Oryzias latipes: one gene and its partners. The protein of the gene in region 1 interacts with the protein of each later gene in a biochemical or structural test. Links are inferred from orthologs where the notes say so. Each region holds a gene or a part of one and is shown on either strand. Other genes may lie near its edges. The genes, in order: ubiquitin-conjugating enzyme E2 R1, uba1, rnf7 and pparg.

Region 1 (7,171 bases):
GATGTTCCTGGTGTTTCTGATTAAATGATCCACATTCATGTCTGCAACCTTCAGCTTTCAATAAAAGAAGGCTTCATGCACTAGGATGGCAGAACTCTTCGGTGACAGTTCACGCCGTCACAGACTGATTCTCCTTCTGCAGAAGTCTAGCAAAAATTCTCATCTCCTGTGTGGTTCTTCTCTTTATTAAGGAAAAAGTCAGAACCCTGACAATTCCCACACAGTAGTAATTACTTCCAACAGAATAATTAAATAGTTCCCAAATATTAATTAGTTCAAACAAAGATGTATATAGAATGAAGAAAATCCGGAAAGGAGATTTTTTTTCCCCCCCTTTTATTTTTGCACAAAGCAGAAGTAGTTACTTGTTGGGTAATCTCTTTTCTGGCTAGCCCTGATTTTGTGGAAAATGAAGCGAATCTTCTCATCTACTTTGTTAGATATGCAAAGTTTCAAGCAGTACTTTAAATTTACTCCAGATACTTTCAAATTTCTGTCTGTTTGTATCTCATACATTGCATGGAAGACACAGAGGATGTTTAGAGATCAGATTGATTTATTTTAGAGAGCTCAACAAAAGCATCGGTAACCACGTTCAGGAGGTCATTCAGAGACTCTCCCAGCATAGTGAGTCTCACTCCCGCTGACATTAAGCCCTTTCCGCCGCTACTTCCGTGTCTCTGTGACCCACATTAGTTCGAGCGGGAAAAAATAAAAACAAGAATCAATCCAGGGGATCTATTTATTATGAAATCATAAGATTTATGAGGCCCGAGCTGACTGCCTCCTCATTCCGCAGCCAGCCAGCCGCCCAGGGGCCGCTCAGCGTAGCGATCCCGTCGCTATGATCAATGGAAGCATCAGTGATGCAGTGGCAACATATCTTTCATTTATATTATTGCTTTAAACAGGTTATTTTATTTACAGTAAATATGTAACCGGAAACATTCATCTTCTTCTTAACCATTTTGTCCTTTTCGGGGTCCCGGGCCTCTGGGGTCATCCTGGACAGGTCTCCAGTCTGTTGCAGGGAAACATTAAAGTTTATTTCCAGTTGAAAGTAAAAGGTCGCAATTATTTTTGAGGGAACAAATTACTATTTCATAAGAAGGAATTTGTATATTTTCTGTCACTCATGTCATGTCACGGGCTCCGTACTAATTCCCGTAGTGTTTATGAGCTAGAATGTTTACTTTTAAAGCTCAAGGCCTTTATGATGATTTAAAGAGTCACTCTGAATATGTATTGTCAATTTCTTCTCAGTGGTTTTTTAATTATGATTCAGATTTTTTTTTTTAATTCTCTTTTGTTGTTTGTTCCCAGGACTATTCTGCTGAGCGTGATCTCGCTGCTGAATGAACCCAACACCTTTTCCCCCGCCAACGTGGACGCCTCTGTCATGTACCGCAAATGGAGAGACAGCAAAGGAAAAGACAGGGAATATGTAGAAATCATCAGGTATGTAGAAATGCAACAAAACGCAGGAAAGAAAACTGTTCAATGGCTGTGTGATTCGCTCAACAGCCTGCAGATAAACAACAGTCTGTATTGCCGGCTTTTTTTGGTTCTTTGGTCACTGCTCAAGTGGAAAGAAGTGAATTTCTTAATTCAATTTTAGGGACAGTACTGATTCAAGGTTTGAGAATATTTACTTGTCTTTTACGTTTTTGTTGCAAACAATGTAGTTTGATGTTTTGCTTTAATGTAAAGAATAAATTAAAACAAAGAAATGGAAATTGTGGTTTCAATTAGATAACTAGAAATGAATTTTAAACATTTATTTTTATCAAAGTTACCATCTTTTTAACTCCTATTTTTTTTTTTTTAGCTTTTTACACTATTTTTTTCTCCCTCAAAATAACTTCATAGAGTTTAAATTCTGGGACTGTACTGGTCACTCCCAATTTTTTTATTTTGACCATGTTCTATTTTTCTGTTTTTAGTTCTGGTAAAGATTTGGCTTCTGTTGAGGACCCTTATCCTGCTGCAAGATCAAATTCTGATTAACTGCTAAAAATAATATATATATAGTGCGGGCCTTTCTAGTGCCCTGAATTTTAAAAACAATTCGGACACCATGCTCACTACTTTCTTTTTTTTAAACGGCAAATATGACGTAATCGATTTCACAAAGTGAAAATCTAATTGATATGAGCGTTTTGCATCAACCATTTAAGAATCCACTGTCTACTGAAGATAAAAATATTGATAATTTATTTGAAAAAATTCAATTAAATACGTTTTTTGGGGCAAAAATTGGATTCGCTATTGAAAAGTAAATGTTAACGCATGAATTTGTCGGTACAGTTTTGATGTTACAGTTGACACAAAAGAACACGATCATATTGCATCAACACCTTTTAATTTAAGTAAATTTCCTGTAGGCATTAAAATACCATCATTGTGGAATCAATGAAGTTCTGTTCTAAAAGGGACCAGCTGAGGTGAGGTTTAGACATCCGGCACAAATGCCATCTGGATGTCTTCTTGTGTCACGCATCCTTGAGTAAGATATGGATCATCAAAAGGAAATCTAGTCCTTCACTGTGTTTCCTAGCTTTCTGTGCGTTTGCCGCGTCCTCACAAATGAAAAATAATCTGTTGTCTCTTCCAGGAAACAGGTGATGGCCACCAAAGCTGAAGCTGAGCGCGATGGTGTGAAAGTTCCCACCACGCTGGCGGAGTACTGCGTCCGCACACGTGCGCCAGCCCCCGACGAGGGCTCGGACCTCTTCTACGACGATTACTATGATGACGACACCATGGAGGGCGGGGATGGCGACTGCTGCTACGACGAGGACGATTCAGGAAACGAGGAGTTGTGACATGCTTTTTGACTGAACGCCCAGTCCGGCTATGCTCCTCCTTTTTCCCTTCCGGGGTAGCGAGATGTTCTAGGTTTAACACCAAGGAAGACTGGAATCTTCCCTTCTCTAAACGGATAAGAGCTTTTTTTCTCGTGCCTCTGTTTTTTTCCCCGTCTCAGAGGTTAAAACAAAAGACTCTGTAAAAATGTGGGACCTGGTAAGATTTGCACCAGCACATACGTTAGCAGTTTCTTCAGTTTGGCCACCTCAGACTTTACCATGAAGGATAGTTAAATGCTCACCAAATCTTTTTCACTCACTGTAGGCTTTAATGGGGTGGAAACTCTCTTAAACATTAGTCAGCCTCTTTTGCATATTTGTTTTTCCTAAATTGTAAGTGAATTTTGATCTCCGTGATGGAAAACGAAGGACTTCAGGCTTGTACTAGGAAAAGCACTGCAGAGATCCAGTATTTTTCACCTTTTACAGCATCCCATTACATGCACCAAGACACAATAAACTTGCCACGTGACAGTATTTTCTAAGTTTCTGTGCATGCCAGAACATCTTTGCAAGCTTTTAGTCTCTTGTAACGGCGGACAGTTTTCCCACCGCATCATGATTTGTCCTAGCAAAAAAACCGCTGCGGCGTTGAAGTGACTCTGTGGCGAAGAAGCAGATGGGCACGTCAGCGGGGTCCATACCACGTGGACATTTTTGATCTTGTGGTTTTTTTCTGGTTTAGTGTTGAATGTGTTTCTCTGTCACTCTGGGTGTGTCTTTTTTTTTTTTTTTTTAAACAACCTCGAATTAAGGGGAGATTGAAAAGTGTTTGAGTTGGTGGGGGATTTGAAATGTTTTTGAGCTCTCGAAGTGTGGGGCCGTTTTTGAAAAAGCAACAATTGTTTTGTTAACTAATCATACTTGGAGTAAAGGTTTGAATCGTAGTCAAAATACTTGATTGCTATTTTAAAGACATCCAGTTGTAAACACAGTATCACTCCGAAACACCTGATGGACCCAAAGAGCTAAAGCAGCATTATAAAGACTCCAAAACCTATGAAAAATGATGTAGTTCTGTTGGTTTGGTTGAAATTCATTATAATTTATTTTTCTTTTAAATTCCTTCATAGTTTACCTGAATGGTGTCACCTGTGAGATTATTAGGTAAAATCATGCACGTAGTCTGATTCTAGATTCTTGACGTTTTTCTGCGCCGCAAATGAAAATGTTAAGAAATAATGATCCTCTTTATTTTAATTTTCTTCTCTGTTTTGTTGGGTGATTCTGGACGGGTGTTGGTGTTTTTCTGAGAGTATGGATGGTGTTTTTTGATTTAGTTTTTTTCCAATCTGCAGTATTGATAACTTTAATGTCTGAAGTAAGTTTAGTAAATAAATTAAATTTCTCAGGATAAAAATTCATTTGAAACAACTGTTGAGGCAAGCAATTAATTTCCAATATGCAGATGTAGCTGTATGAATGATTAAAGTGTTTTATTCACATGTCTCTTTTTTCCCCCCCAGCTATTTAAAATAAAGATTTATTTCAAAGAAACATTCATTGAAGTGCTTGGAATGACTGCACATAACGGAAATCCAATTTTTTGTTGTGCTTTGTTATTTTAAGGAAGTCATTTAAAGTGTTCCAGCTGAAGACAACAGCATTTAGTTTGCTCATGCTATTTAACTTTTGATAATACCTTAAAATTCAATTATAAAGAGTAACTTGAACATGTGTGTTCAAGAGGTTGGAGGGAAATAGGAATTTTGAACTACCAAACATGTCAGTCTTTATCTTTTATTTATTACTTTTTTATTATTTATGTAGATGTAAGAATGCAAAACTCAAACTTATTCATATTCTAAAATAAACTATTTTAAGTCTGTGTCTGTATGGTGTGAATCGTATCAATGATGTTCCCTATGGTTTCTGAATGCATCACATGCCGGCGCACATTGATGTCGTCATCCAAACGCCGCAGTTCAAACCTAAAACTCGGGTTTGGGACTGTTTTTCAAACAGAAAATAACAACAAAGACAACAGTTACCAGAGTCATGTCAGTAAATTATGCTGCCGGATTGTCACCTTACGCAGATAAGGGGGTCTGCGGCCTTCCTGAGGTAAATTTTGACTACATTAAAGAGCTTTTCATGCTAAATGAGCTAGCAGCTCATCATGAGCGATGTTTTTGTCCTGCTGTTGTGATCCTTCTGCTCTTTTATCTAACAAAACACTTGCTAAGGACCAGCCCCTTGTTTGAAAATCTCTCTTTACATTTTTTTTATTCGTTCTAGTGAGTTTAAATTCCAGCTCTGGTTTAACAAGATAATAAATTATATTGTTTCAAATATAGTTATTCTTGTTGGGATGTTGTATCATATATATCCACAAAATTTGATGGGTGCAAAGTTGTTGTTTTCCTTCATAATAGATTTAAAGCAGCCTTTTACTAATCTGTACTAACGTTCAGCTATGGCTTTGTCCGCCGAACGTGTCACATAAATAGATAAAAGCGTGAAGCTATTCATGAATTCATATCTCGGGACCAACAATCTTAGCAACACATGCATGGATGATTGCTTGTGCTCATTCCTAAAAGGACTTGTTTGTGTCTTCTGGCAGAAGTTTGACAGTCCTGAAGAGCTGAAGGAGAAGGTGCAGACTCTTGCTGAGTTGGTTAAAGAATCTCAGTACCTGGTCGTCCACACTGGAGCTGGCATCAGCACCTCAGCCGGCATCCCTGACTTCAGGTGAGACACGATTCTAATGATAATTCTGTTTTTGTACGCCACATTTGGCTGCTAATGCCAACATCAGACAAAGGCAAACATAGGATATGTATTTTATATGACAGGAAGCGCATCTGTTAATCAGAATAATATTGATTCTTTTGCACACAAACAAATCTATCTAAATATCTATATTTTTCTTTGGGAGCATGTCCAACTATTTTACTTGTTTGATCCTAAAATTCCCTAAAAAGTTACATAAACTACATTAAAAAAAAAACTCTAAACATTCATTAAATGAGCCTATTAAAATCATAGTTAAAACATTTTTTAAACTAATTTCTCCACCGAATCGTACATGATGTGTACATAAAAAAAGGTTGATGTTATCCACACACGATTATGTGACAAGCACAAAAAGTTATGGAAATTTATGTTGGCCACACGTAATGCTTGCAGCCAAGATACATAATGGTGCCTTTTAACCCTTGTGCTATCCTAGGCACTTTGACATTGGGAGTTGGGTCATCTAGAGTCTAGACCCACTAGACAGTGCGCTGAACCTTTTTTTCTTCAATGATTTGTGGTCTTCTCCGGTGTCCATGGATTACATGAAATCTTTCCACTTTTATTCACCTTTGTCACGGTAGGGATAACATGTCAATGGTCATCTTGACCCCGTAGGATAGCACAAGGGTTAAGTGCGTCCAAGGTTGCATTTTGTTGTTGGCCCCAGGTGTTTAAAATGAAACTTAAAGTTACAGTCCCATTATCTGTCATGCACCTAGGTGTGTAAAATATGTTCTCTGCCTTTGATCCATCTCCTGGAGGAGCGGTGAGGTGCAAAAACAGCCGCGCTCAGGAGCTATTTGGTGGTTTAACCCAACCCACAACTGTAATCCTAACCTTAACCCCTGTTCTAGGTCTGTGTGGCCAAGAAAAAAAGCCCAGGGCTGGCCGCACTTATTTCGAAAATGACGTGCAAATAGACCCTTTCCAAAATATACACATATAACTGAAGACAGGCTGGAATAGATCAATATTCATGATTAATCTTAACAGACAAACTAGAATGTTAGTAAATAAAAAAACATAAATGAAATTAACATGACACCATTTTTTATTTCCATTTTAGATGACAACAACAACAGCTATGACCATAGTTCCACTGTAACTATTTGATTCGTATCCTAATTTGTGGTTGCTGATTTGATTCATAGTTGATATAGGTTCATTTTAAATAGTCCGATTCACTGACCTAAAATCGATCTTAAGCCAAAAATTCAACCAGTGAGACTCAGAGATAAATACCTGGTACTGAACAGTGCAGGTGAAGTTTTCCAGATTCCTTGTATTTCTTGCAAGATAATCAAGTGTAAATTAAATATGTGTGCAAACAAAGTTCAGCCCACTGTTGTTTATCTACATCAAAATAATACAAACAGAACATTACTAGAACATTCTACTGTATAGTCACATGACATGGCAAAACTCAAAGTGTTTCCATGCATTGAACTGGAATGATGCACTGATCGGTTTTTGCTGCCATCACATGTGTGTTGTCCATGGTGATTACACTTGATCACTTTTTACGGTATAGTAAAATAAACTCACATTTGCCTCAATCCAAA
Region 2 (8,343 bases), on another chromosome or scaffold:
AGTTGGTTCTCTAGAACTTAACTTCAATTCAGCAGAGAGATTTCTTTAACTGGAACTCAAATTTAATCTACCACAGTGTCATGAGGTCCATAAAAACTCTGATGTATTAAACTATAAAGAATGGGGGGGGGAGCAAAGCATTATTTAGTTTAAGAATGTTTTATGGAATTCAATACTTCATGTATTTGTTTTTTCTGATTCCTGCAGAGATCCTAAGTTCATGGAGCGTACACTGAAGCTTCCTGGGGCTCAGCCACTGGAAGTACTGGATGCAGTTTACAAGTGCGTTGTCACAGACTGTCCACACAGCTGGGCTGACTGCGTAGCTTGGGCGCGCAACCACTGGCAGTGCCAGTACAGCAACAACATCCGTCAGCTATTGCACAACTTCCCCCCTGATCAGGTAAACGCCCCTGTTGTGGGCACTTTTAATTTTATTCACAGATGGTAGGAAATGGAAGAACATTTCTACACTATGAGGTTTTTTTTGTCTTGATATTTTCATGTCCTATTTAAACCACAGCCATCCAAATGAAAATTGTGTTGTTGTTTAACGTGTTCTTGTAGCATGTTTGTCATGGTGAAGGACGTATATGAAGAAAATTAAGCTTAAAACTGCATTCCTGAGTTTTTCCTTATTTAAATTGTAGTGAATCATGAGCAGATTAACAATTGCTATTTGAAAAAGCTCGCAGTTGTTCCATACAAAATACAGTCGGCAGGCCACAAGTTCCCTCCCATTCTGATGCAGACAAATGTCCTCATTTTCCTCAGCTGGCGTCTGGCGCAAAACTGTATGGCTGGATAGCTCTAAAAAGCGCCCACATTTTTTTATTTTTTTTAATTAAAATATAACCATTACAAAACTCTTGGAGACACAACCACACAATGATGCAAGGCACTGCTTTTCACAAAAACAAAGAACAAAAGAAAACAAAAATTTATACATATATAAAAAAATATTAAAAACAACTTTCAGCATAAATTAAAATAAAAGGCAAACAACAATCTGGACCCTAGATCTTTAACCATTCTGTGGCAGAATTACATATGTCATCAATGAAAGGACTTGAGTTGTGAATACATTTCAATGAGGATAAATAAAGTCTGACTTAATAAAGCGCCCCCATTTTGTTGCACTGGTAATGTTAGGTTGGGGTTGTGAGAGGTTGTAAGCTAGCAGGAGAGGGTGTAAACAAAGGGTTGATGGGAAATGAGTCAGGCTCACTCCGCGTCAACAGCCCTGTCCGCAGCTTAGAGGTGAATTTCTACTGAACTCCTGCCGCTCTGCAGAAACTGCCCTAGAAAACAACCGTTTTCTTGATTTTTGTCTAAAAACCGCATAATCGGACTGAAAAAATATCTGGAAATGCTTTTACAGGGACTTCTTTTTATATTTTCTTGTTTTTCTGTTTACATTTTACTTCATGAAGTTGCACCCAATCTAAACATTGAGCTCCTAAACTTTTTCAGATGTATCTTGAGTCCCATATGTCTAAAGAAGATATTTGTCTTGCAGCTCACCAGCTCAGGTGCACCTTTCTGGTCTGGCCCAAAGAGGTGTCCTCATCCCCTAGAATTCAGCACTAGCAATGTAAATATGCGCTTTTCACCGTCTTCAAAAGTATTCCTCCTCAAAAAAAGATTCAAATTATTAACATTTAGCCTTTGTCTCCAGGACTTGCACATGGATTATGTTTTGGCAGCTGCTAACCTGTTTGCGCAGATGTATGGTCTGCCAGGTAGCACCGACCGTGCAGGACTGGTCAAGATTTTGCAAGAGGTCAAGGTGCCCACTTTTACCCCCCGTTCTGGGGTTAAAATTCACGTCTCAGACCAGGAGCTGCAATCGAGCAACTCTTCTGTTGGTAAGACCGTATTTATGCACAAGACAGCATTGAAAATCTTTCAGAAATGTTTGTGTATAATTGTCTTTGCTGAAGGCCTATTGTGACATGGATCTCTTTAATGCAGATGACTCTAAACTGGAAGAACTAAAAACCAAATTGCCGTCACCAGAGTCTTTCCAGTTCAAATTAAACCCCATCGAGTTTGAAAAGGTACTCAATTTCTTTCACGTCAGACATAATCAGTCTTTCTTTGATCGTCATGTTACAAATGTTTGTCATTTCTAAAAAAAAATGTAAAAAGTAATTCTGTATATTTTTTTGTTGTCATCAAAATAATACAGGAACGTAGAAGTAAAAATCGATTTACTAGATGAATGAAACGTGAATGTCATTATTAGTTTGTATGTCGTAATAACGTGATTCTCTATGCAAATGAACCCCGTTGTGTGTTTGTATTTAGAAAATGTCATTCTATTTATCACTAAATTACCCCCTTTTACTTGCTACAGCCTCATTTATTTTGTAGTGTAGGAAGAACATGGATCACCCGAGAAGAAATGTTTTAAAAATGGTTTTATTTCTGCCCCTCCAGGATGATGACACCAACTTCCACATGGACTTTATTGTGGCCGCATCCAACCTTAGAGCAGAGAACTATGACATTCCGCCTGCAGACAGACACAAGGTGGGCTAAACATTCACATGACCTCATTTGGCCAACTAACAAGGGCGTCTTTTTGTTTTTTTGATTCTCGCATAGCAAAACCTCTGGGCAGAAATACTTTAAGTTTTTTTCCCCTGTTCTTTCTCTTTCAATAATGTATCTGTCTGAATTTTTCTGGACTGGTGAAGGGAGGAGTCATTCGGTCATCTTCTAATTTGTTTATTCCCTTTTGTGGTCACGGCGATGCCAGAGCCTATCCCGCCACTTGCGGGTGAAGGCTGGGGACATTCTGGACAGGTCGCCAGTCTGTCGCAGGGCCCCAATCACACCCATGCACTCTCACATTCACACTTATGTGAGAGACAATTTAGAGTAACCAATTAACCTTGGAAGGAGTGATTGTGACATATAAAACGTCCTCAAACTTGGTCTGTATGTTTTTTATAAATTAGAAATGTTAAGCAAACCAAAGTGAGTGTTTTTCATTCATTGTTTAACCTCCGTTCATTAGCTGATCGATTGTGAATTTCTCTTTTGGTTTACTGTTCTTTCCAGAGCAAACTGATTGCCGGCAAGATCATTCCTGCCATTGCCACCACCACCGCTGCAGTTGTTGGCCTGGTCTGCCTGGAGCTCATCAAGGTCGTGCAAGGACACAAGAAGCTTGAGACGTACAAGAATGGTTTCATGAACTTAGCCCTGCCTTTCTTTGCCTACTCTGAGCCCATTGCTGCTCCAAAACATAAGGTGAGGTGTTGCTGTTTTATCCCACAAGTTTGTAAAGATTATAAAACGTGTGACGATTGTGACACAGTGATAAAGTTTTAGTCTGCTTCTGGCTCCTGTGATGATTCAGCCATGCTAATACTGATGCATCAGTCAGCTGCATTAACTCTGACTGGATGCAAGTGAGTTCAACTCACCTTCTCACACTGGTGTGATCAGTGTGTGCTGAGGAGACGTGTTTACCAAATATGCGCTTATAGCATTGTTGCAGCTCTGTGTGATGTCTATTTTTTTTACCTACAGTAGCTGTAACTTTATTTTTCATTTATTTCCAGTACTATGAAACTGAATGGAGTCTGTGGGATCGCTTTGAAGTAACAGGAATGCAGGCCAACGGTGAAGAGATGACACTCCGCCAGTTTCTGGATTACTTTAAAGTATGTTCAGCAAATTTAGGTGCTTCTTCTCCAACTTTTTTTGTTTTTGCAATGAGTAACTTTGTTTTTTCTCCCCTGTTTGGCAGAACGAGCATCAGCTGGAGATCACCATGCTTTCTCAGGGAGTGTCCATGCTCTATTCATTTTTCATGCCCGCTGCCAAGCTTAAAGAGAGGCTTGACCTACCGTAAGTAACTGCATACGCGAGAGTCCAGCCTCTTTACGTTTTCCTTCCACAAACTGAGTTTTTCCTGTTCTGATTTCTGCAGGATGACTGAGATTGTGACCAAGGTGTCCAAAAAGAAGCTGGGCAAGCACGTTAAAGCTCTGGTGTTCGAGCTCTGCTGTAACGATACTTCAGATGAAGATGTGGAAGTGCCCTACGTCAGATACACCATTCGCTGAGCCTCACCCGGAGACCACCCACAGGAGGGTGGTAGTTGCTAGGGGGGGATGCAAGGAATGGGGGTGTTCTTAGTGGGGAAATAGTGGTGTGACAAAGGGTGGGTGGATTGATCCAGATCGGCTCTATTGGATCAATTGGTTTCCTTTTTTAGGCCCGTGGTTTGTTTAAACCTGTGCCTGACTGTACATAGCCCCAGTAAGCTGACAGAAGGATACCTGTCTGTGTGTTACAGTTCCACTCTGTGCTTGACTGTGGGAAGAGGAGATTTGTTGGAGAGAGGGAGGGAGCATGTAAATTGGACATCCTAATGTTTTTCTGTAGTAGAACCTTTAAACTTCAAAAGCCTCGGTGCCCTCATTGCAAAGCCCAACTAGTCTGTATGTACAATAACACCTAACTATCATTCTGAAGCAGAGCTTTCAAACACACCCTGCTTGCTCTCCTCTCTTCTGGAGCCCATTTCTAATAGATCTGTCCCCTCATACTGTTACTTTTTAATACATGATTTTTTTTTTTTAAATCAAGGCTATTCAACAACGTAAAAACCCAATTCTCCCTTTATTTTTTGTTCCTCAACTGGAAATGGAATTACAGCATCAAACTGATGAATTTCCTTCCCTTCCTTCACTTTGAAGCACCCTCAAAGCCTCGTTTCAGCACTCTGGCTTTCTTCAGGCTGCTGCACACCACAATAGTTTTCTCTTGATGCTCTCCATGTCATGTGTTTTGTTCCATTTTATTTTATTTTCTGGGAGGGGGGGGTGTTTGGAAGGAGTTTTGGCACACAGTTGGTAGATCATCAAACTGTCTTTCTACTTTGTTAACTCCAAAATTAATTAAATCTAAGAGCGAAGCGTTGAGATGTATCTTGAATGGGAGCACTTAGTGTTATAGTGAATAAACATGGAAAAACTCGCCTGTGTGTCTGTCTTTTCTTTTCAGTTGATTCAGTAAAAATGTGTGACGTTGATTTTAATTATGTGTGTTGTCTGCTTTGGTTATTGAGTCTAGTCTGGTTTATGCTGCTCAGCAGTGAAGTGGAGCATCACATGCAGGAAATAAGCTTCACCAGCTAAAAGACTGGTTGACTATTTACTGTGGAAAAAATGTCTGTAGGTTATGTGATATTTAAGTTTTCTAAAACTAGATCAGTTGGTAACCACAGTCTAATATGACACTCTACGTCAAATATTATTTCACTTCAGCAATTTACAATTTTTCCACAACAAATTTTTGTGAACATTTGGAGGAGAAATGAGATTTCGGTGATGAGCTTAGCGTGAAGCTTGAGCACTCCTCCCTGAGAAGAGCGGATATGCGAGTTCTGTGCAACCCCTAAAGGATGTGGTAAGCTGTAAGATGAGGAAGAAAGTGAAGAGGAAGGAGTGTGTTGAGCTTTTAACACCCCGAATGCAAACAGGTTGCGTTCGGGCCTGCACAGAAACTACCTCAAATCTGGATTATTGCCACTCGTGTTCAAAATGTCCAGTGATATTGTGAAGATGCTTTGAAGAAACTAACATGGAAGTGGAGGCGACTGATGAATCGAGGACTTCCTGGTACGATCAACTTTTTTTCCTTCTGTGTTCCATCTGTTAATTGATAAAACAGGGTGACTTGAGTTTTTTGGGTAATTTTATTTATTTTTTTAGTCTATACTTGCTGCATCATCAGTGAACCAGTTTCTTGTTGTATAATCACAAACTAATTTAGGGTGAAATGAGATCTTTTAGATTATTTTAAATCTTTTTGATTGAATAATTTTATTTTTCTTTGGGAACCTTTTTTCCTTTTTAGGTCTGACATGTCAGGCGACAGTCACACATTTGTTTGTGATCATGCTGGGGTAAGAATCTGCCTTTATTCATTCATTTGAGTTATAAATTAAAAGGGGGGGAAAAAGCTGATCATATTTTTTTCTTTCAGAAAAAGAGAAAACAAGATCCCGAAGCTGTGATAAGAATCATTGAGGTGAGAAATAAGCCGAGCAGCTTCCTATCATAATCGTCTCTGTTTCTCAGTAAGAGGCGGAAGTTAGTCAACTTTACCTTTGTGACCACAATGCTGACTGCTGAACTGACAAAGAAATGCGCATTGTGTTCAGCAGAACTTTTTTTTTTTTTTTTAAATATAAAACCCACTTTGAGCTTTTGTGGTCTGTCCACTTTATTGTCTTGCGTCATATTTGCTTTCCTTAAAAATCCCTATTTGACCAACTGCATTTCACCACTGCTGCACTGCAAATGTGGAGGTTAAAAGGCAGTCATTTTTATTGTTTAACTACAGAGGCACGCTTTGAACCTTCTTCCTCTTCGAAAGACTCACACAGGAAATGAGAAGGCTGCACCATGCAACATTTTAACCCTCTCAACATTGCCTTCTCTCTGTTTTCCTCAACTTTTTCCACTCCATTTTTTTTCTAACTCAGTCCCAATTATGACTTCCAATAGGATGAAGAGGAAGAAGAGGAGGAGGAAATGTCACCTGACCACATGAAAGATTCAGAGGTCAGTTGCAGCTCTTGGAGATTTTATATTTATGTTGTTTATGTTTTTTTTGAGCTGCTTAAGCTCAGTTCATGTGGTTTTCAGGAGCCCAGTAATAAACGAGTCAAACCTGTGGGGAAATCAAACAGCCTCACGGGCGTCCTACCCCAAATGAAGACGCCGGCTCTGAAACGCTTAAGTCAGTCTATTTCAGTAAGGATGCTCAGATACACCCATGCTTTTACCACTTACATTTCCGTTCAGACAGTCAACACCATCTTTTCTTTTCACAGCGATCTATTAGCTTTCGTACAGATGCTCGACCTCTGCCCCCGGCTCTCCCCCGTTCTCGCCAGAAACCCTCTTCGTTTCCACGTCGGCGCAACAGCCAGTGCTGGAGCGACACAGTGGAGAGCCACGACCTCACAGCCAAGGAAATCAAACGCCAAGAGGTGTGAGGCACGGTCGTTTTCTAGTTCAGCTGCAGAAACCAGAAGAATTTCTGAAACCGCTGTGGAATATGTGCTTAAAAACAGAGTATGATGTGCCCTGCACCTTCTCTTCATTTCTCTGAAGCTGCTTCGCAGTGGGGTATTGTGAAAGAGGATGTGAGCTGGCACTAGAGGCTCTACTTCCTTTGCCAAACCATCAGCTGTGAAAAGCTGATGCTGGCTGTGTACACCATTAACCTCTTATGCAACTCCATACGTGTTTTGACTTGTCTGAGTGGCTGTTTGCAGTCATGGAACGGTTTACTTCTCTGCAGGTGATTTATGAGCTGACTCAGGGAGAAAGGCAGCTTATAGAGGACCTCAGTTTAGTGAAAAAGGTACTTGTACATCATATTGCTGCACCTGTGTTGCTAAACATGGAAACACTTGCACGTTGCAGTCTTTAAACTTTCCCTCACACATATTCATCTGTATATGACCTTGGTGTCAGGTGTACTATGATCCCATGCTGAAGTTGGACATCATGTCTGAGAGTGAGCTTGGACAGATCTTTGGGACTCTGGAATCCCTCATTCCCCTCCATACAGGTAAATTCTCTGTTAAATTCTCTCAATTGGTATCTTCCAAGTAACATTTCTCTCATTATTAGCATATTTGCACCCATCTCGATCCCATCTGAGGCAAATCCTCTTCTCCAATCTTTTAAAAATACTTGAGGGCTATTTATTTTAGGTTTTTGGGCCTTTTTGTCTCATGAAGTAGGTAAGTAGGTACAGGTCATTGAGGTTTGTGGGTATTCGTCTCTGCAAAGGCTTTAAATTGCTTCATTGGGGGTTATGGCTGGGACTTTGGGCACCAAAAACATCTTCATCTTAAGTCTTTTTTAAATTGTCTGTCGACTTTTCTGTTGGCTGGTTGTTGAGTTTTGTTTTTTCCCTGTTCCCAGTTTAGTTTAGATTAAGGCCCTAACATTTAACTTTCACCTTTAACTCAGATGGCTGCAAAGCAACCCTCATAGCCCTCCCCCACTTTGTCTTCCTTCTGGTATCAGATGTTGGAGTGTTATAACCAAACATGTCTGTGTGAAGGACATTGTTTCAAAGATCCTTTGATTTATTCAAAGGATGCTTTTCAAACCTGAGCTATGCTTCTATGCTCTTAAGGGCTTACATTTACCATTTATAAGGGCTAATTCAGACTGTTTTTGTCAGTTTCTCCGCAGATTACACAGATCTTTATGGATAGCATTGGTTACCTACTTCTGAAAAATATAATTTTAATTATTAACAATAATTAAAAATAATTATCTATAATAAATTGAT
Region 3 (8,178 bases), on another chromosome or scaffold:
GCATGATTTCCAGATACTCTTCCCCTACTCATGGCTGATTACCTGGTTCAGGTGTGTCCAGCCAATCAGAACATGCCAGAGCAGGGTATGCTGGAAAACATGCAGGACTGCGGCCCTCAGTGCCCACCTCTGGTCTAGTGGGTCTAGATGACCCCACTCCCAATGTTAAAGTGTCTAGGATAGCACAAGGGTTACTCCAGGTTTTGGTGAAAGGTGGCTACAGAAGAGCATAAATGGATGGATTTGCTTGGTGGATTTGCCTGAAACAGCTTTATGGCATAAAAGCTCACATGTCAAACAAGGACAATCAGTCCAGCCATCATTAGCCTCATGACTAAGTCAATTACGCCGGTAATTCTTCCTCTCTCAATTCTCCAAGTTTGTGCGTTTTGTGTGCACAAGCAAAGGCAGAAAACACAATGAACTCATCTAAAACTAAAAATACACAAAGAACAAAATGAACCCACTTCTAAGATTTTCCTGGTTTTGTTGGGTTAATGTCGTGCTGCTTAGTGGTGTAAGAACACCAGCTTAAGCTCTATGTGATCCAGCGCTCACAGCACAGAGTGCAGCCTCTTCCCAATCAAATTACTCTCATTAGTGAGTTTATCTGCGCATTAACATTAAAGAACCACTGATGAAAATGGTGGTTTTGGTGTTTTTAACATCTTATTTTGGCCTTTTTTCTGATGATAGAGGACATATATAAAGAAAATCAAGCTTAAAATTGCATTTCTGAGTTTTTCTTTATTCAAATAGTTGTGAATCAGGAGCAGACCAAAAATGCAGTTTAAAAAAAAGCTTTTTGAGACATGCACAAGCTCCCTGCTCTTCTCCATTCTGATACACCCACTTACAACCATGTGAAGCCATGGCGCAATTTCAATACGGGAGAGCTATCTCATCTTCTGGTACACCAAGTTCTTCATACTACATGCCACTCATCAGTTAGTCTTCAGTCTTAGCCAATAGCTAAAATGCTCACTTTCTTCACAGCCAATCACAATCAAATTCCTGCCTTTGAATTCATGGAAGTTAGTTTATCTGCATTCTAGACACTTCACCGGCCCACCTCCGCCCTGTTCTCCTCCTGGCTCTTTGATTCGGAGCGGTCTGGGGCTTAACCCTTGTGCTATCTTATATGACCCAACCCTTACTTACGTGTTATTCCTACCATGATAAAGGTGGATAAAGGTGGAAAGATTTCATGTAATCCATGGACACCAGTGAGGTTCACAAATCATTGAAGAAAAAAGGTTCAGAGCACTGTCTAGTGGGTCTATATGACCCAACTCTCAATGTTAAAGTGCCTAGGATAGCCCAAAGGTTAATCACCATCAGCGTCCAGGCTCTGGGGTCTCTTCTCACACGGTCCGAGGTCATCCCAAGTATGCAAGAAGTCTCCCGCCCAGAACCTAACCGCCAAAGACTACAGACCATTTCATGCACAAATTCCTGTTTCACTAGTAAATCTCAGAACTAAAATCTTTTTGTTTAACCTCATAAAGGCTACAACATCAAGGAACTGACAGAAATTTTGTTTTTTACATGTATAAAAATACAGCCAAATCATGTTGTAATGATATAGATATAATCAATTACGGTATGTCGGGTGTTTTGGTAAGTTTTATCTCACAACAATGTAATTTTAAGATGCAAAAAAATTGACATTAGTTCTTAGGGAAAAAAAAATTAGTGTTTAGGGGAAAATAAAATCACCTTATTTATCCACTCTCACATTTGACCCATGGGTAAATGTGACCACATTGGGTCAATGTGTTATAAAAAGTTAATTATCAAAGACTTGTGTGTTTTTTCAGTAGTCATTTAGAAAAGTGTAAAACAATAGATGAGTTATTCTCAGCATAAAATTTAGAAAATTAGCTAAACGTTTCCCGTCAAGTGTTTTTGAGATTTCATGGAAACAGCCATTTTGAAATCAGCAGGAAAAGTCATTCTACTGCCCCTAGTGGAATGATGATGAATTACAGGACAGAAAACATGGACCAATGGTTTTTAAAGAAAGTTTGGATCATGTTAATAATATTGGGGTCTCAGGAAGGCATGTATAAAATATGATGCAAATGGTTATATAGGATTAATGGAAACTATTCAAATGAAAACAGACCTGCAGCTTTCACAATTCTTTTATTTCTAAAATAAAAACCACTTCTTGTGCCAAACATCGCAACATACATCAAAGTTAATCTTAAATGTCAAACACTGTAAATTGTCATCCATCCCTCCATGAGGCTTCTAAAGGGGTAGAGCAGCTGATCTGTACGCGTTTTTGTTCCCCGCCCTCCTTTTACGCTGTGACTACAGGAAACATGCGATGGCGAGCAGGAAGACGGCACAGGAGAAGGCCGGGACGGCTCTGAAGAAAACACGGGCTCAGTCCTCATTTGCCGATTCTCTGCACCACCCAGTCTTGTTGGCAGAGGGGGCAACGGTTGTTCTGCTTCACCCAGAGGGACATGCAGCAGTTGTGGAAGGAGTGGTTGCACTCCCCCCAAACAACTGGAAGATGGAGGCAGACAAACAGGTTAAAAACTGAATGACAAACATGTTCAAAGACAATATATTGTATGAAACATGTACGTTTTCATTAGTACTCTTATTTTCACAAACACAGCAGGACTTCTGTGACAGATTATAGAGAAATCTTCACATGAAGAAGGGAAGAACATTAAAGTTCGTTTGATTGTGTCTCAAACTATTAAAGACCACCTCCAATGAAAATCACGTTTTTGGCGTTCTTATCATGTTCTTGTGATTTTTTTTGTTTTTTGATGATGGAGGACATGTATAACGAACGATTGCTTTATTCAAATTATTAAAAAACATGAACTTGAACATAAAAGTGGCAATTCATCTCTTTATTACAGGCTATTTGGTAAATTTAAAAAAATCACAAAACAGTTTTTTTGTTTTCAGTGTTTATTTTGTTGCCAATGTAAGAAAACTACAAAAACATTAAGAAAGCTGTCTATGGTTGGATGTTTTTAATGTATTACAATGTGTTTTGTAGTGTATGTGCCAAACTCTGGCATTCTCACTGTTATTGTTCTATGTTCTTTTGTTGTATTTTACATAAAATAATAATAATAACTTTTTTCTTTCAATATCGTGAAAGCTGCGCGCCTGAGCTTTTATTGTGGTGGGACGCAGGGTTGATGATAACGCTCTTTAGCATATCCGGTTAACCGATTGTGCTGTTGATGCAACTTTTAGAGCTCGGGGCGTCTTACCGACACAGTCTTCCTGTTTGTTCTCCGCCTGACATCGGAGGCACGCGTCTGTAAAAGTGTCAGAAATAAAGTTAAAGCACCAAGCAGCCTACATCCACCAAACACGTCCGTGTTAGCTAAGCTAGCACGGGTTAGCCGGGTATGCGTCCCAAGCTAGCTGTCAAACACTTACCCATTACTTGTACCCGACAAATCGCACACGTGTCGCATTCCACGTCCCAGCTCCACATGGCCACAGCGTTCCATTTCTTCAGGGAAAACATCTTGTCACTCCCCGTCTTGGATCCCGAAGAGGTGTGAGAAAGCACCAAACCCGGCTCGTCCCCGTCGTCCATCTCTGCAGCTCCCACGTTAGCTTAGCTAAACAAGCTGGATGCTTGTTCTCACAGCGACGGCAGAGGGCGCTGTTTCTCTATTTTTAGTAAAAAGAAGAAACCATCTTGAAGTTTGCACCTGTTTTATAGTGTATGCAATTTTTTTAAAATATGCTTCAAGACAATTTATTGTATTTTAGGAAATTATATAAAAACATCTAACATGCTTTATATTTCAATAAAAAATGTAATGTCTTAATTTTAAAAACTAATTTTGTCTTGAAACTGTAATCTGTAGCATATAAACTACTCATTATTAAGGAATGCTCCACTGAAGATATGGACAAAGAAAAATCTAAAATGTAATCAGTCAGGAAAGGTTTCATTAGCTATTTTATTAAATGACATTTTAACACACCAGCTTATGTAAAAAATATACATCATTTGTTATGTAAACATGCTTCATATAAAGATGAACATCTAATTTGTATGTTTATATAAAAAACAAGCCATTAATATAATTAACTACAGTGTAGTATTATAATTTAGGAAAAAACACAATATAAAGTTTTCTCTTTAATGCTGCTGTCTAACAACACCTTAATATTTATTACCTATTTAACATAAATTATAGTATACAAGACAATAAAAAAATAAAAATAAATGCTACCTCATTTCATCAGATGTATTTAAACACAACCAAACAAATTTCCAGCTATACACAGAAATTCTTTTATACAGATATCAAATTTACTATCATAAAATACTTTTTTTTTCTAGAATGACATCAATGCTTTGCTTTTGTCATTTTTGTTAAAGGAGTCCATTTCTCAGGATGGACGGTCAACAGTAAGTTCAGAGGAGCGTTGCTTCCTTCAAAGCCTTCCATTTCGAAGCTGCTTTGTCCTTAAACGTGTTTCTGTTTAGAGATCCACAAAGGAAACTGTCAGTCTTCATCAGATGAAACAGAAACAGGCACAGAACATCATGGCGACGCCTCTGGAGTCTGAAACGAACTCTGATTCTTTAGGACAAGCTTCTGAAAGTTTAATTTGGCTGGCGGCTCCTATCTTTTCACAGCAGCTGGATCCTCAAGTGTGTTGTGAGTTCACAGACCATCTGTTGCATCACAAAGCAGCACTCTTAACTGGAAAAGTGTCTTAATGAAAGAGGAGCCAAAGTGTTTGCTGAGAAATCGTTTAGGTCAGGAAGTCCAAACAGAACATCAGCATCCACAGAGAGAGACAATGTTTTCATGAGTAATATGCAGTGTTTTATCCTTTGGACAAATATGTGTTCAGTTTTTTTGGAATAAATGACTCACTTTTACCCGTAAATCAATTTTGTTTCCCACATTCTTAAGGGTTCCTTTTAATTTTTCTGTCAGACTTTAGTCTGAGTTAACTTTGTTGCGATTCTTTTGCCATGTCTACATTTTGCATCTCTTGATGAGTCTCGTCGAGAAACAGGAAAGAGAATCCACCTCAGGATCAAATCATTTAAAGTCCCACTCATCTTTTGATCTTTTTTCAAATCATTCCCAGTGACGCTTTTTAAAGCAAAAAAACGTGTCGTTTTCCAGAACATAGTACAGTTTTGAGCTAGATATCAGCTCAGACTAGGAAAACAAAGACATACATGGATCTAGTCATCTACAAGTGGATGCAACAGACTGGAGTGGACCAGGGAGCTACATCATAAATACAATCTTCTTTAAAAATGACATTTAAAAGGGCTTTAAATGTCATCTGGTTAAGAGTCCAACTGCTTTTCCCGATTGTCCGTTTTGCACTTTAGTGCCACAGAAACATAACTGCCCAATTTTTTGTGTCCCTCTGTAGAAAAAAGAAAAGAAAAGAGGGAAGTCTGGTGTTTCCATCATTCCTTGAATGCAGCAGAGGCAGGATCACTTAACGCTGCCCTGCAACACTCAGTGGTTGTAGTCAGCACTCACACAGATTCCCAGCATTGAACCCTCATCAGAGCTGTGGTTCAGGAGACGGACGCTGCCTGAGGGAGAGGTGTGGCTCGTCTTCATTTCATCCACTGCTTCTGTCATGACTGCAAGGATTCAAGCAGCGGCTGGAAAGTTACAAACTTCTGTGTTTCTCAGCAAAACAACAGGTAAGCTGTCAGCTGAAAGAGGCTTCTGAAAGAAAGATTTACCCAGAAGGCATTTCTATTTCATCCATTCATGACGATGAAGGCTCAGCTGAAAATTGTGAGAATTCGTTCAGTAATATTTATGACACAATGACTTAATTTTAAACATTTGCTCAAACAATACTTTAATATTTTTAGGACTTTTTAACAACAAGAATGCACATTTGCAAAGAATGAGTGGTAATATCTTTGACAAGATCTGAGTTAAGTAAGGAAATGTGTTTAAATTGATTTTTTTTAAATTGCTTTTCAGCAAAAATAAGAATTTGCATGTGATGCAAACATAAACGCTAACAAAAATATTCTCAGTAACATGGCATTTCAGATGCACATTTTCTGCAAATATTTCATGCAAAATTCAAAAGTAATATTGTTGTGTTGAGGTGAGAACTGCAGGTGATCACTAACCAGAGTCACGCATGAATCCAATAATGAACTGAAATAGCTTTTGTGGAGTCGATTACATGTTTTCACATTCTGGTGTAACAAAGTTATGCAGCAAAAAAGGCTGGAAGAAAACCAACCCCTGAGGAATGTAAAACTTAAAATGTCAATATGAAGGTTGCAAACCTCTTTCTTCCTTTTTTATTAAACTAATTCACACTTTAGCTGCATATCTGGATTACCATTTTTTCCACCAGTCTGAAAAATCCTTCTTCAATTGAAAAGTCTGGAGCAGAAAGGACCAAATTGAAAAAAATACGAAAACAACAATACTCTTATTGAAAAATCACTACAAAAGAAACAAAATTACCTGTCCATGCAGAAAGTCATCTTTAATTAACATTACATACTATAATAAAAGATCAACATCTAAAAAGAAGAAGTATTCCATTTTGAAGAAGCCTTCAAAAATGGAAAAACAGCTGTTTGATAGAATTACTTCAAATTGGCTATACAGCCCAAATAGAAGTATTGTTTTGTGAGTTATAAGCAGATGGTTTGTATTCTTTAAGATTTTATTGACTTAATTGTTGTTTATTTTTAATAACAGTGACAATAAACTAGTGTAATAAGTGGAAATGACTCTTTTTTAAACAAAATTTGAATATCATCTTAAAGCAAGTTGGCCCTTTTAAAATCTAAAACAAGCGTTTACTCTTATGACACAAATCTGTTTTTTTCTTTCCAAAGTAATGATAACAAATGCATTTTTACCATTATTGAACTTGAAAATAACACCTTTAAAATTGAACCAAAAATTCCAGTACGATTTTATTTATTTTTTTGTCCTAAATCATGTTTTTCTATTGTTAGGAGTATGAAGCAAAAATTTGATTTTGACTCATTTTAATAATAATTTCTAAATTCCAACTCTTAATGACACAAAACATTCTCCAGCGTGCTAATTTTGAGAAAAGCTTGGAAAAGTTTAGAGCAAAGAGAAGTTAAAACAACTAAAAACCTAGTAAAATGGATGTTTAAAAACAAGGTTTGAAATAGTTTGCAGTGCATTTGTCAGACTGTCTTTTATGCACTTGAGAAAAGGGGGGAATCAACAACCTGTGTTTATTTTCACACTGAGCTACGTGGAGTTAACTGTCCACAATGACAAATAAATGTCTTGCACTATGAAACTTAAACTCAGGTTACGTGTTTAAACATAATATCCTTGATGTGAAACTCCAGCTGTCAGATCTAGAACCGGCAGAGTCCGGTTAGGAGGACTGACTGGATCCAGAGTTGTACCCTGTAAATTCTATACACTGAAAGTAACACCATCCCCCTTATCCCATAGGGTCTCCATGGGTAATAACAGCATCCAGAATGATGGAATTTGGGAATATCTAACAGTGTTTCCTCTGTGGAACATCCTTGTAAGCAATTGAACATTTTAAATGTGTAAATCCTGAGCCTTGCTGCTCAGAAACTCTCATTTGTAAACCAAATGTTGGTGACAAATATGTTTTATCATATCACAATCAGTTATCTAGTCTGAACATACTTACAAAACAGAACAGAAGTGCAATCAGATGAAAAGAAATTGAAAATGAAAACCATTAAAAGTTGGAGGCTGTCAGGTTTTTCACCGAACAGAGAAGCAGGTGAGGAGACCAAGTCTGAGAGGGGACGCTTCATCCAAAGATTCAAAGATTCTGTTTGATGAGCTGCATTCTGTCAAGGGTCATTGTTTTTGGAAATAGTGGTCTGTGAACGCAGCTCATTAACGTTTTATATGGGAAAGATGAAAGCTTGGTGGGTGTTTTTTTGTGTTGCTTGGTTTCTTTCCAACTTCGGACACATGAAGCAGCAAATTCATCAAGGATGAGAGGAGACAGAATCACCGTCATGCTGGATGCTTCTTCTCATAGAATTTTCTTCTTTTTTTAAAGGTTTTGCACAGTTTCTTTCGGGACCTTAAATTGAAATGTTCTCAGAACATCTTGTACAGAATGAAGCAAAGCCTTTTGTTGTCCCCCTGTTCTATGTTTTTAACTTCATCTTTATCG
Region 4 (8,343 bases), on another chromosome or scaffold:
GCGCAGTAAAGGCGGAATGGAGGTTTAAATGAGAGGGAGCGGTAATTGATGACTTCCACCCACGTGAAGTGGTTTGGCTCTGTCACACCTTAGCATGCGCTTTTCTTTTTGCCTTTTTCTCACCCGGGTCAACCAAGAATCAAGAACAGTTTGAACTTTAATGAAAGAGTCAAAGGGCCTAATTTATGGAAACACAGCTGTCACAAACACTTTTGGTTTCAAAAAATAGAAAACCTCTCAAGATCAAACAGACAAATCTTTTTTTTTATATACAATCATTGACTATGATTATGTTTTAACTAAAATCTATTCAATCCATCTATTTGGTATGTAGTTTCAGGAAAACCAAAGTCCATCTTCTATAAATGAATGGCAGTCTGACTGTCTTGTGTAGTTTTGGCCACTTGTGTCATATGCAAGACCTGTAAACAGAGAGCTTTCAATGAGCTGTGAAAGTATTGCTGCCAACATGTTGAAGAGGTGAATGAAATCTACTAGTGCGTCACGAGACACACCTAAAAAAAACGGCATTTTTCACGTGGTCCTGACAGTGGAAATATTCTGCAGGTGAATAGCTTTGGCAGTGAGGCTGGTTTGCAGAGGCTCGCAGGGTCTTTGCCTCATCCGTCTGCTCATTGACTGCAAGGTGCAGCCTCCAAACATGCAAGGATCAGACGCGTCTGCACGGCAACTCAACGCCTTTCTTTAATTTGGAATTCTGTACGAAACAGTGCACAGAAATTAAAGACACGTTTGAGCCAATGCAGTATATTTTTGATTTAGACCACGAACTAAACATTTCTTTGTTTTCCTAAAAAGTAGCGATTAGCGATCATTTTTTTGTTAAGGCCGTGTCACACAGCCATTATGTACATTTTGCGTACGTTTTTCAACGAAAGACATTTCAGTCTTTCGTGATACATGCATGATACATGTAATTCATGAGTGTTTCTTGCGTTCCTTGTTCGTCAATGTGCGCAGATGTCGATCGCAGCTCTTTTATGTAAATTCAGTTTGGAGCTGTTCAAAATTTTTTGCCGGTTGAGGATTGCTCAGTGTACGTTTATTTTATGTAGTTTATGTGCAATTATTACGTAAATCATACACAGTTGTGCGTAATTTTTGCTAGATGTATACGCAAATTTGTGGCTTTCCACAGCCGTTCAGCGAATGACTACGAGACAACCACTATGTTTTGACCACAAATTGTGTTTTTTTCATTTTGTAAAACTTTTGTTTAATTCCTGCTAATTTCATACAAACATTGGTTTTCAAGCATTTTGTATTAAAATATTTTCTTGATTAGGAATTAAATAATTCAATAATGGATTAAAAAATGATGCATGATTCTTCTTACCAAAACTAAATGAAAACAATTAAAATAGTTTCCTTGAGGCTTAAAGACCCACTGCAATTAAAAAAAAAAGGAATTTGGTGTTTTTAACATGTTCTTGTGGCATTATAGTAATAATGGAAGGCTAATATAGAGAAATTTACGCTAAAAATTGTATTTCTGACTATTTCTTTATTCAAATCGTTGTGAATCCGGAGCAGATGAAAAAACACCATTAGAAAATGGGCTTATTTGCTGTTTTCCTCGTCTGTGCTGGCATCTGGCTCAAAACTGTACAGCTGGATAGCTCCAGCATAGTACGCCATTTTTGTTGCATCGGTATGGTTAGGTTGTGAGTGGCTGTAAGCTAGTGGGAGAGCATGAAAAAAGATGGAAGAGGGGAAGGGGGCAGGCTTACTCTACGCCAACAACAGTCTTTTTAATGAACTCCTGCTGCTCTGCAGAAACTATGTCCTAGAAAACAACACAGTTTTTTAGTTTTAGTTTATAATACTGGAACAACTGGGAAAATTTTTACAATAGATCAAAAGATGATCAGACTATTTAAGGAAGGTGTTTATTGGAATAATCTGAAATAAATTGGAACTGAACTGGCACTTTATACATAAACCACTTGGTACTTTCTGAACTGGTTGCTTCCACAGGAGTGTTTCTTATTATCAGACTTTGCAACTATGTGCAGTGTAATGAAGCCGTGCACCTCATTGTAGTATTAAGATAACTCATGAAAGGAAGTAGGGAGTAAATAAAGTTTTGTCTTCTGTAAATTTGTCAAAAATCTGGTCTTTAAGAGATGTTTCTGTAAACATCTCTATTTCCTTTCCCAGCCATCCGTTTTGGCCGAATGCCCCAAGCAGAAAAGGAGAAGCTGCTGGCCGAGTTCTCATCTGACATGGAGCACATGCACCCAGAGGCAGCAGATCTGAGGGCTCTGGCTCGACATCTGTACGAGGCCTATCTGAAATACTTCCCCCTCACCAAGGCCAAGGCCAGGGCCATCCTTTCTGGGAAATCCGGAGACAACGTGGTAGGACGAAACACTTCAGTTTCACTTTTTGTCATCATGTAGCCAACAGTAAAAAAAAAAAAAAATTATAATTTAAGGCAAAGGATTTCAGAGTTTGTTAAATGATTCATAGGAAAAGAGAGCTTTAATATTGGACCTAACTTGATGTTGAGTCGTCAGTTAAAGTTGTAACACCTCCTATCTGCACATTTCTCTACGTGTTCTGTTTATTTTGTATCTTTAGCCCCATGTGAGCAGTCAGACCTGTTGTGCTTTCCTGTCAGGTTTTTTTACTTCTATTATTGGGCAAAAAAGTTCTCTACTGAAAAATCAGATAAAGAGCTTTAAAGTCCCATTCCAAAGAACATTGTGTTTTTGAGTTATTTTTAACATGTTCTTGTAGCATTTTTCCCATGATGGAGGACAAATATGAAGATCATTAAGAGGAAAACTGCATTTCTAAGTAAATCAGGAGCAGACCAAAAAAAAAACAAAAAGCTGTTTGAAAAAGCTTGTAGCTGTTGCGTATAAAAACTACAGTCAGCAGGCAAAGCTTCCTGCTCCGCTCCATTTTGATGCATCCATTTATAGGCAACTAGATCCATGTACCTCTTTGTTTTCCTTGTCTGAGCTGACATCTGGCTCATAACTGTTTGGCTGGATAGCTCTAAAATGCTAATGTTAGCTGGGGGGGGGGGGGGGGGGGGGGGGGGGGGCTGTAAGCTAGCAGGAGAATTTGTAGACAAAGGGATTGTGGGAAATGAGTGCAGGCTTGCGTTGCACCAAAACACCTAAGAGGTGAATTTCTTATGAACTCCTGCCGCTCTGCAGAAACCGTGTCCTAGAAAACAACACCAAATTTAAAAAACGACACAATCCTAAGTAAAAACACTTTTACAATAGATGATTGAAGTGGAGCTTTAAATGTTCCCCTCAGTATGGAAGCAAATAAAGGGGTCACTGCTGTTTGGTCTTTTTTTTGTTTGTTTGTTTGTTTAAAATTTATAAAAATTATACATTAATATGATTGCTTTGCAGCAAAATTTTAGTGATTGGTTTCATTTTTGGTTATTGGATTTTTTTTAAACGGTTCCTTAGCTTTTCGAAGATTTTGACTAATTTGTTAGACTTTTATCATAATCAGTCAAAAATAAAATATACATCACTAAATATTACCATTAAATGTTTGCACTATAGTTTATTTGGCCTTCAGAGAGTCATTCTTCACATTTCTAGAATACATATTTCAAAAATAGAAATTTTGTAGCAGATTTATGTGGAAGTATTTAAATTCAGCAACGTGGCGCAAGTTTTTTAACTTTTATTACTTTTTGAGAATTGTATTTTCTCACTTCTGCTTTGAAGGATAATTAATCATTTGGATAGTTTTAAGTCAAAATCCTGCAGATAAAAAGTATGCTGCAAAATAAAAAAAATCTAGGGATAACATCTTAGACAATTGTTTAATGTCATTGTGCCATCATCAGCTTGTATTTTTGTAGACTTTCTAGAATTGACTGACACCGACATGAACTGATTCTTATATGATGTATTTTAAAAGAAAGAAAATATTTTAAAAGAAAAGAAAAAGTAGATTATTTGTTCATTATATGGCATTTTTAGTTCAATTTAAAACATCTTCATTAAACTTTTGGACATTTTTGTAATAAAAACTAATAATGGTAAAGTCTTGTCATCATAGTTTTATTATTGAATGATAGAAGCACCTTCTGTGCTCAAGGCTGCTGCGCATTACTTTGGTCTGCTTGTTATGACTGTTCAGACAGCGGTGGCAGACAGTTGACGCCGAATCATCTCTTTGTTTGAGCCACTCCTGAGTTATTTACTAAACCACAGCAGACCTCCTAAAACAAAACTAGGAGTCAATCATTTTAGCTTTCGTTGAATATTTACATTTCCGAACATGCGAGGCCTTGATATGAGTTGAAGTTTAATCAGTCTGTAACTCCTGCAGTTCTCCACAAAAACTGACTGAAAAGGGAGATGACTACAGCTCATTAAATACTATAGATATTTTTGCCATCAACTGTTGTAGGAAGATCATAAAAGGCCACAGTAAACAACATTATTGCACTTAAAATTTTTATTTCTCAAAGAAAAAGATCAAAGTTGTAAAGAGTGTCTTGTAAATCAGTTTTATGTTCTTCTTTTAATCAAAATATTGCAGATCACAATCATACATAAAGAGACTTTCTTCACAGGCTGTCGACATGGATGAGCCCACAAAGTTTCACAGGCAGAGCACAATTTCATGAAAATGAAAGAATTGTTTATTTCACACACCGGGTCGAAATACCGGCTGTAAACTGCAGTTGGGCTTTCCCTTATTAATTTTCTTTTTGAAGAATTGAGACTTAATGAATCTTTCAGGCCGGAGCACGTCTTTTTCGGTTTTTCATTTTAGCCTGAGCTAAATCGGTTAAGCTTAATTTACAAAGAAGTGATGTTTTCATTTGCCTCAGCAGCAGAGGCTTTTTTACGGTTTTCCCATTGCACACATTTGTAATGTGAGCTCCTGTAAGCCTGATTAATGAGCCAAGACTATTATTTCTGTGACTCACGGGTCCTCAAAAGACCTCGTTCACGCCAATTCATATTTCTTTTTACTTTTCTCACCATGGTCTCTCAAATTTGTGGTCTTTTTGCAGCCTTTTGTCATCCATGACATTAAGTCTCTTATGGAAGGAGAGCAGTTAATCAACAATGGGCAGACATCTTTTCAGGAGCAGCAGATTGCCACAGCTGGACATGGAGGTTGGTAGATACTTTGAAGATATTTGTTTTAAGTTTACAAATGAAGGCATGTGGCGTATACTTATATAGCGCTTTTGTACCTACAAGGCCCAAAGCGCTTTACAGTTACAGACCCAGTCACACACACATTCACACACTGGTGGCGACTCTGCTGCCGAACACTGGCGCCAACCTCCCACTAGAGGCAAGGTAGGGTTCAGTGTCTTGCCCAAGGACACTTTGACACAAGGCGGGAATCGAACATGCAATAATACGATCATGAGTTGACCGCCCTACCGCTGCACCACGGCCGCCCATGTGGTTTATCTTACTATCTTTCTTGATAGTCTGTGCAAATTTGATTAATCTACCCAAGATTTATAATCCTAAAACAAGCTATAAAATCTTATTGATCTTAATTTTAGATATTTACACAAATAAACAAAAAGATGTCTAAGACTGATTGTTTTAAGAAAATATGTTTCCTTTCTTATTTAGTTTTTAAATCTAAAAATGAGTCCTTTAACATGCAAAAGAAGGAAAAAGAATTGCAGGCAAGATTTTAAGGACAAAGAAAATGTCCTACTTTGAGAATATTTACATTGCCACTGTTTGTAATTTCTTGGAATATGTATTTTACAAACATCTTATCTGATTCCAAAAGACATTTTCAATTAGCATAAAATTAAATAAAATATGTGGTTATTCTTGTATTTAAAATATTTTGCCGCATTTTATTTATATTTGTGATTTTGTTGTTTCCCAGCATGCCATGAAAGTTGTCAATGTGCTGCCTCAAGCTTTTGATCTGCTGATGTAATTAAGCAAATTTGGGTTTTCTTTATCTCATAATTAAAATGAATGATTTTGCTTTTGAATTTTTTTTTGCTGTAAAACACCATAAATAGTAGTTTTTGTGTGGTTAGTTAAAACTTAGAGGGAGATCAACGCTCAATACACTTCTTAACAGCTAAGAGATCTAATATGGGACCCCCTTGTATTTAATTTTTGAGAAGACTTGGATAAGGATACATAGTTACTATACACATATTTTTGATCCCGCATTTTTTGTCCATTTTTTTCTGGTTCCAGTTTCTGGAATCGCTGGAGCCCTCTCAAGTCCAGATTGTAATGTTTTCGGGATGGCCAGCAACATTGGATCAGAACCACCGGATGGCGTGGAGCTTCGTTTCTTCTACAGCTGCCAGTCACGCTCAGCAGAAGCAGTGAGGGAAGTGACAGAGTTCGCCAAAAGCATCCCGGGATTTGTTAACCTGGACCTCAACGATCAAGTGAGACAGTCGCTCTTAATTACTAGCTCTGACTTTGCTTGAATGTCGAAGGATTGCTTTCATGTCAGAAGTAAAATCTGTTTATTAAGTATTACTTTTACGTGCTGGACAAAGTGAAAATCTAAAGAAGTAAACTTTAAATTGTGCTTACATAGAAAAAAAGTGAATAACTATAAAACTACTCGTACTTCCCAATCTAGGATAAATAATCTTGTTTGGTTGGATGAGAATTTGTTCTATGTCATTTTTCTAGGTAACTTTACTGAAATATGGAGTAATTGAAGTCCTGATCCTGATGATGTCTCCTCTGATGAACAAAGATGGCACCCTGATCTCTTATGGACAGATTTTCATGACGCGGGAGTTCCTCAAAAGTCTCAGGAAACCTTTTTGTCAAATGTTGGAACCAAAGTTTGACTTTTCCGTGAAGTTTAACACTCTGGAGCTGGACGACAGCGACATGGCGCTCTTTCTGGCTGTTATTATCCTCAGTGGGGGTGAGTATGTTCTCCGTAGGACATTTCATATAAGTAGCTTTCTGCTTGCACCTTCTTTGGTGTGGGCAGGGAGCTGTTGACTTCGACGGAGGTGGAAGGAATACTTTGAGGATCTCCTGAACCCTGTTAGGTTTGGTAACTTTGGGATGGGGCTGTCCGTCACCCAAGCTAAAGTCACTGAGGGAGTTGAACAGCTCCATGACTGAAGAGCTTCCTAAGTTCCTCAAGTGCTGTAGATGCTGTAGGACTGTCTTTACTGACAGCTCTCTGCAGCTTTGAGTGGCCAATAGGGACAGTACCTCTGGACTGGCAGATAGGGAGGGTTCCCAGTGCATGGAGGACTCCGGCAAGGCTGTCCTCTATCACCGGTTCTGTTCATTATTGTTACGGATAGAATTTCTAGGCGCAGCCGGGAACCAGGGGGGGTCTGGTTTGGGGATCACAGGACTTCCTCTCTGCTATTTGCAGGTGATCCAAGACCTCCATCATGCATCGGGGTGGTTTACAGCAGAGTATGAAGCAGCTTGGATGAGGGTCAGCACAAGTCTGCCAAGTCTGAGGGCATGGTTTTCATAAAGGGAAAGGTAGTTGTCCCTCTCCTGGTGGGTGAGGTGCTCCCACCTCAGGTGGAGGAGTTTGAGGCTCAATCCGAGTTCTTCCCCTACCCGTCTGGTTTCTCCCCACCCATACATTTAGCTCTCCAAACGGGGAGTTATGGAAAAATGGTGTCACTTCTACAACTCGATGACGTCATCAATAGTCACAGATGGGCTATGTTAGCTGCCAGTGCTCAGAAAATACACAACAACATCAGTTTTATAACTTTATAACTTCCTCGGCAGGGTGGCTGGGTGCCCCCTTAGAGATAGGGTGAAAAGCTCAGTCATCCAGCGCTCGGAGCAGAGCCTCTGCTTCTCCACATCGAGAAGAGCCAGCTGAGGTGGCTCAGGCATCTGTTGTGGATGCCTCCTGGGCGCCTCCCTGGGCATGTGCCACTGGGTGAAGATCCCTGGGAGGACCCAGAATATGATTAAGAGACTACATCTCTTGTCCCCTTGGAGGTGCTGGAGGAAGTGACAGTGGATGGATGGATGGATGGATGGATGGATGGATGGATGGATGGATGGATGGATGGATGGATGGATGGATGGATGGATGGATGGATGGATGGATGGATGGATGGATGGATGGATGGATGGAAAATTCTCTGTGGTGTGTAAAATGTTAAATATATGTGGCCGAGTGTGGTAGAGCTGGTATTTAGCAACTACTGCTCCAGTCTGTATTTGTCAATCCCCCCTCCTCCCCCGCTATGCATTTTTCTGCTCCAACACCCCTCATTTAGGCTTTCAGCAAAAACCTGATAGTGATAAAACATGAATGGGATAGGAGAGCCTGAGGGCCAAGATTGTGAAACACTCCTTTAAGTTACAACCCTAA

Evidence for each region.
Region 2: of the proteins of ubiquitin-conjugating enzyme E2 R1 (region 1) and uba1, one has a biochemical effect on the other in vitro, tested with the Homo sapiens proteins (7 studies listed by BioGRID, with this or other methods). The link is inferred for Oryzias latipes from reciprocal best matches to the Homo sapiens genes CDC34 and UBA1.
Region 3: the proteins of ubiquitin-conjugating enzyme E2 R1 (region 1) and rnf7 form a complex in vitro, tested with the Homo sapiens proteins (5 studies listed by BioGRID). The link is inferred for Oryzias latipes from reciprocal best matches to the Homo sapiens genes CDC34 and RNF7.
Region 4: the proteins of ubiquitin-conjugating enzyme E2 R1 (region 1) and pparg form a complex in vitro, tested with the Homo sapiens proteins (2 studies listed by BioGRID). The link is inferred for Oryzias latipes from reciprocal best matches to the Homo sapiens genes CDC34 and PPARG.

The regions. Positions count from the first base shown.
Region 1 is NC_019875.2:22,334,669-22,341,839, forward strand, and holds the end of ubiquitin-conjugating enzyme E2 R1, read left to right. Parts: intron 1-1,323; coding exon 1,324-1,458; intron 1,459-2,614; coding exon 2,615-2,825; 3' UTR 2,826-4,364; downstream 4,365-7,171. Other genes in the region: sirt6 (NAD-dependent protein deacetylase sirtuin-6), read left to right, coding at 4,866-4,931, 5,434-5,561. UniProt on the Homo sapiens protein: E2 ubiquitin-conjugating enzyme that accepts ubiquitin from an E1 ubiquitin-activating protein, and catalyzes its covalent attachment to other proteins by an E3 ubiquitin-protein ligase complex. In vitro catalyzes 'Lys-48'-linked polyubiquitination.
Region 2 is NC_019865.2:13,788,755-13,797,097, forward strand, and holds the end of uba1 (ubiquitin-like modifier-activating enzyme 1), read left to right. Parts: intron 1-207; coding exon 208-403; intron 404-1,519; coding exon 1,520-1,594; intron 1,595-1,678; coding exon 1,679-1,868; intron 1,869-1,974; coding exon 1,975-2,060; intron 2,061-2,442; coding exon 2,443-2,535; intron 2,536-3,069; coding exon 3,070-3,261; intron 3,262-3,353; exon of another isoform or gene 3,354-3,474; intron 3,475-3,575; coding exon 3,576-3,677; intron 3,678-3,763; coding exon 3,764-3,864; intron 3,865-3,946; coding exon 3,947-4,082; 3' UTR 4,083-4,999; downstream 5,000-8,343. Other genes in the region: rho guanine nucleotide exchange factor 3, read left to right, coding at 5,605-5,642, 5,881-5,929, 6,010-6,054, 6,534-6,590, 6,675-6,782, 6,863-7,021, 7,336-7,398, 7,512-7,608. UniProt on the Homo sapiens protein: Catalyzes the first step in ubiquitin conjugation to mark cellular proteins for degradation through the ubiquitin-proteasome system.
Region 3 is NC_019871.2:22,563,180-22,571,357, forward strand, and holds rnf7 (RING-box protein 2), read right to left. Parts: upstream 3,645-8,178; 5' UTR 3,587-3,644; coding exon 3,424-3,586; intron 3,300-3,423; coding exon 3,252-3,299; intron 2,521-3,251; coding exon 2,402-2,520; 3' UTR 2,131-2,401; downstream 1-2,130. Other genes in the region: transmembrane protein 255B-like, read left to right, coding at 5,623-5,689. UniProt on the Homo sapiens protein: Catalytic component of multiple cullin-5-RING E3 ubiquitin-protein ligase complexes (ECS complexes), which mediate the ubiquitination and subsequent proteasomal degradation of target proteins.
Region 4 is NC_019863.2:9,209,879-9,218,221, reverse strand, and holds part of pparg (peroxisome proliferator-activated receptor gamma), read left to right. Parts: intron 1-2,181; coding exon 2,182-2,381; intron 2,382-5,029; coding exon 5,030-5,135; intron 5,136-6,206; coding exon 6,207-6,406; intron 6,407-6,659; coding exon 6,660-6,903; intron 6,904-8,343. UniProt on the Homo sapiens protein: Nuclear receptor that binds peroxisome proliferators such as hypolipidemic drugs and fatty acids.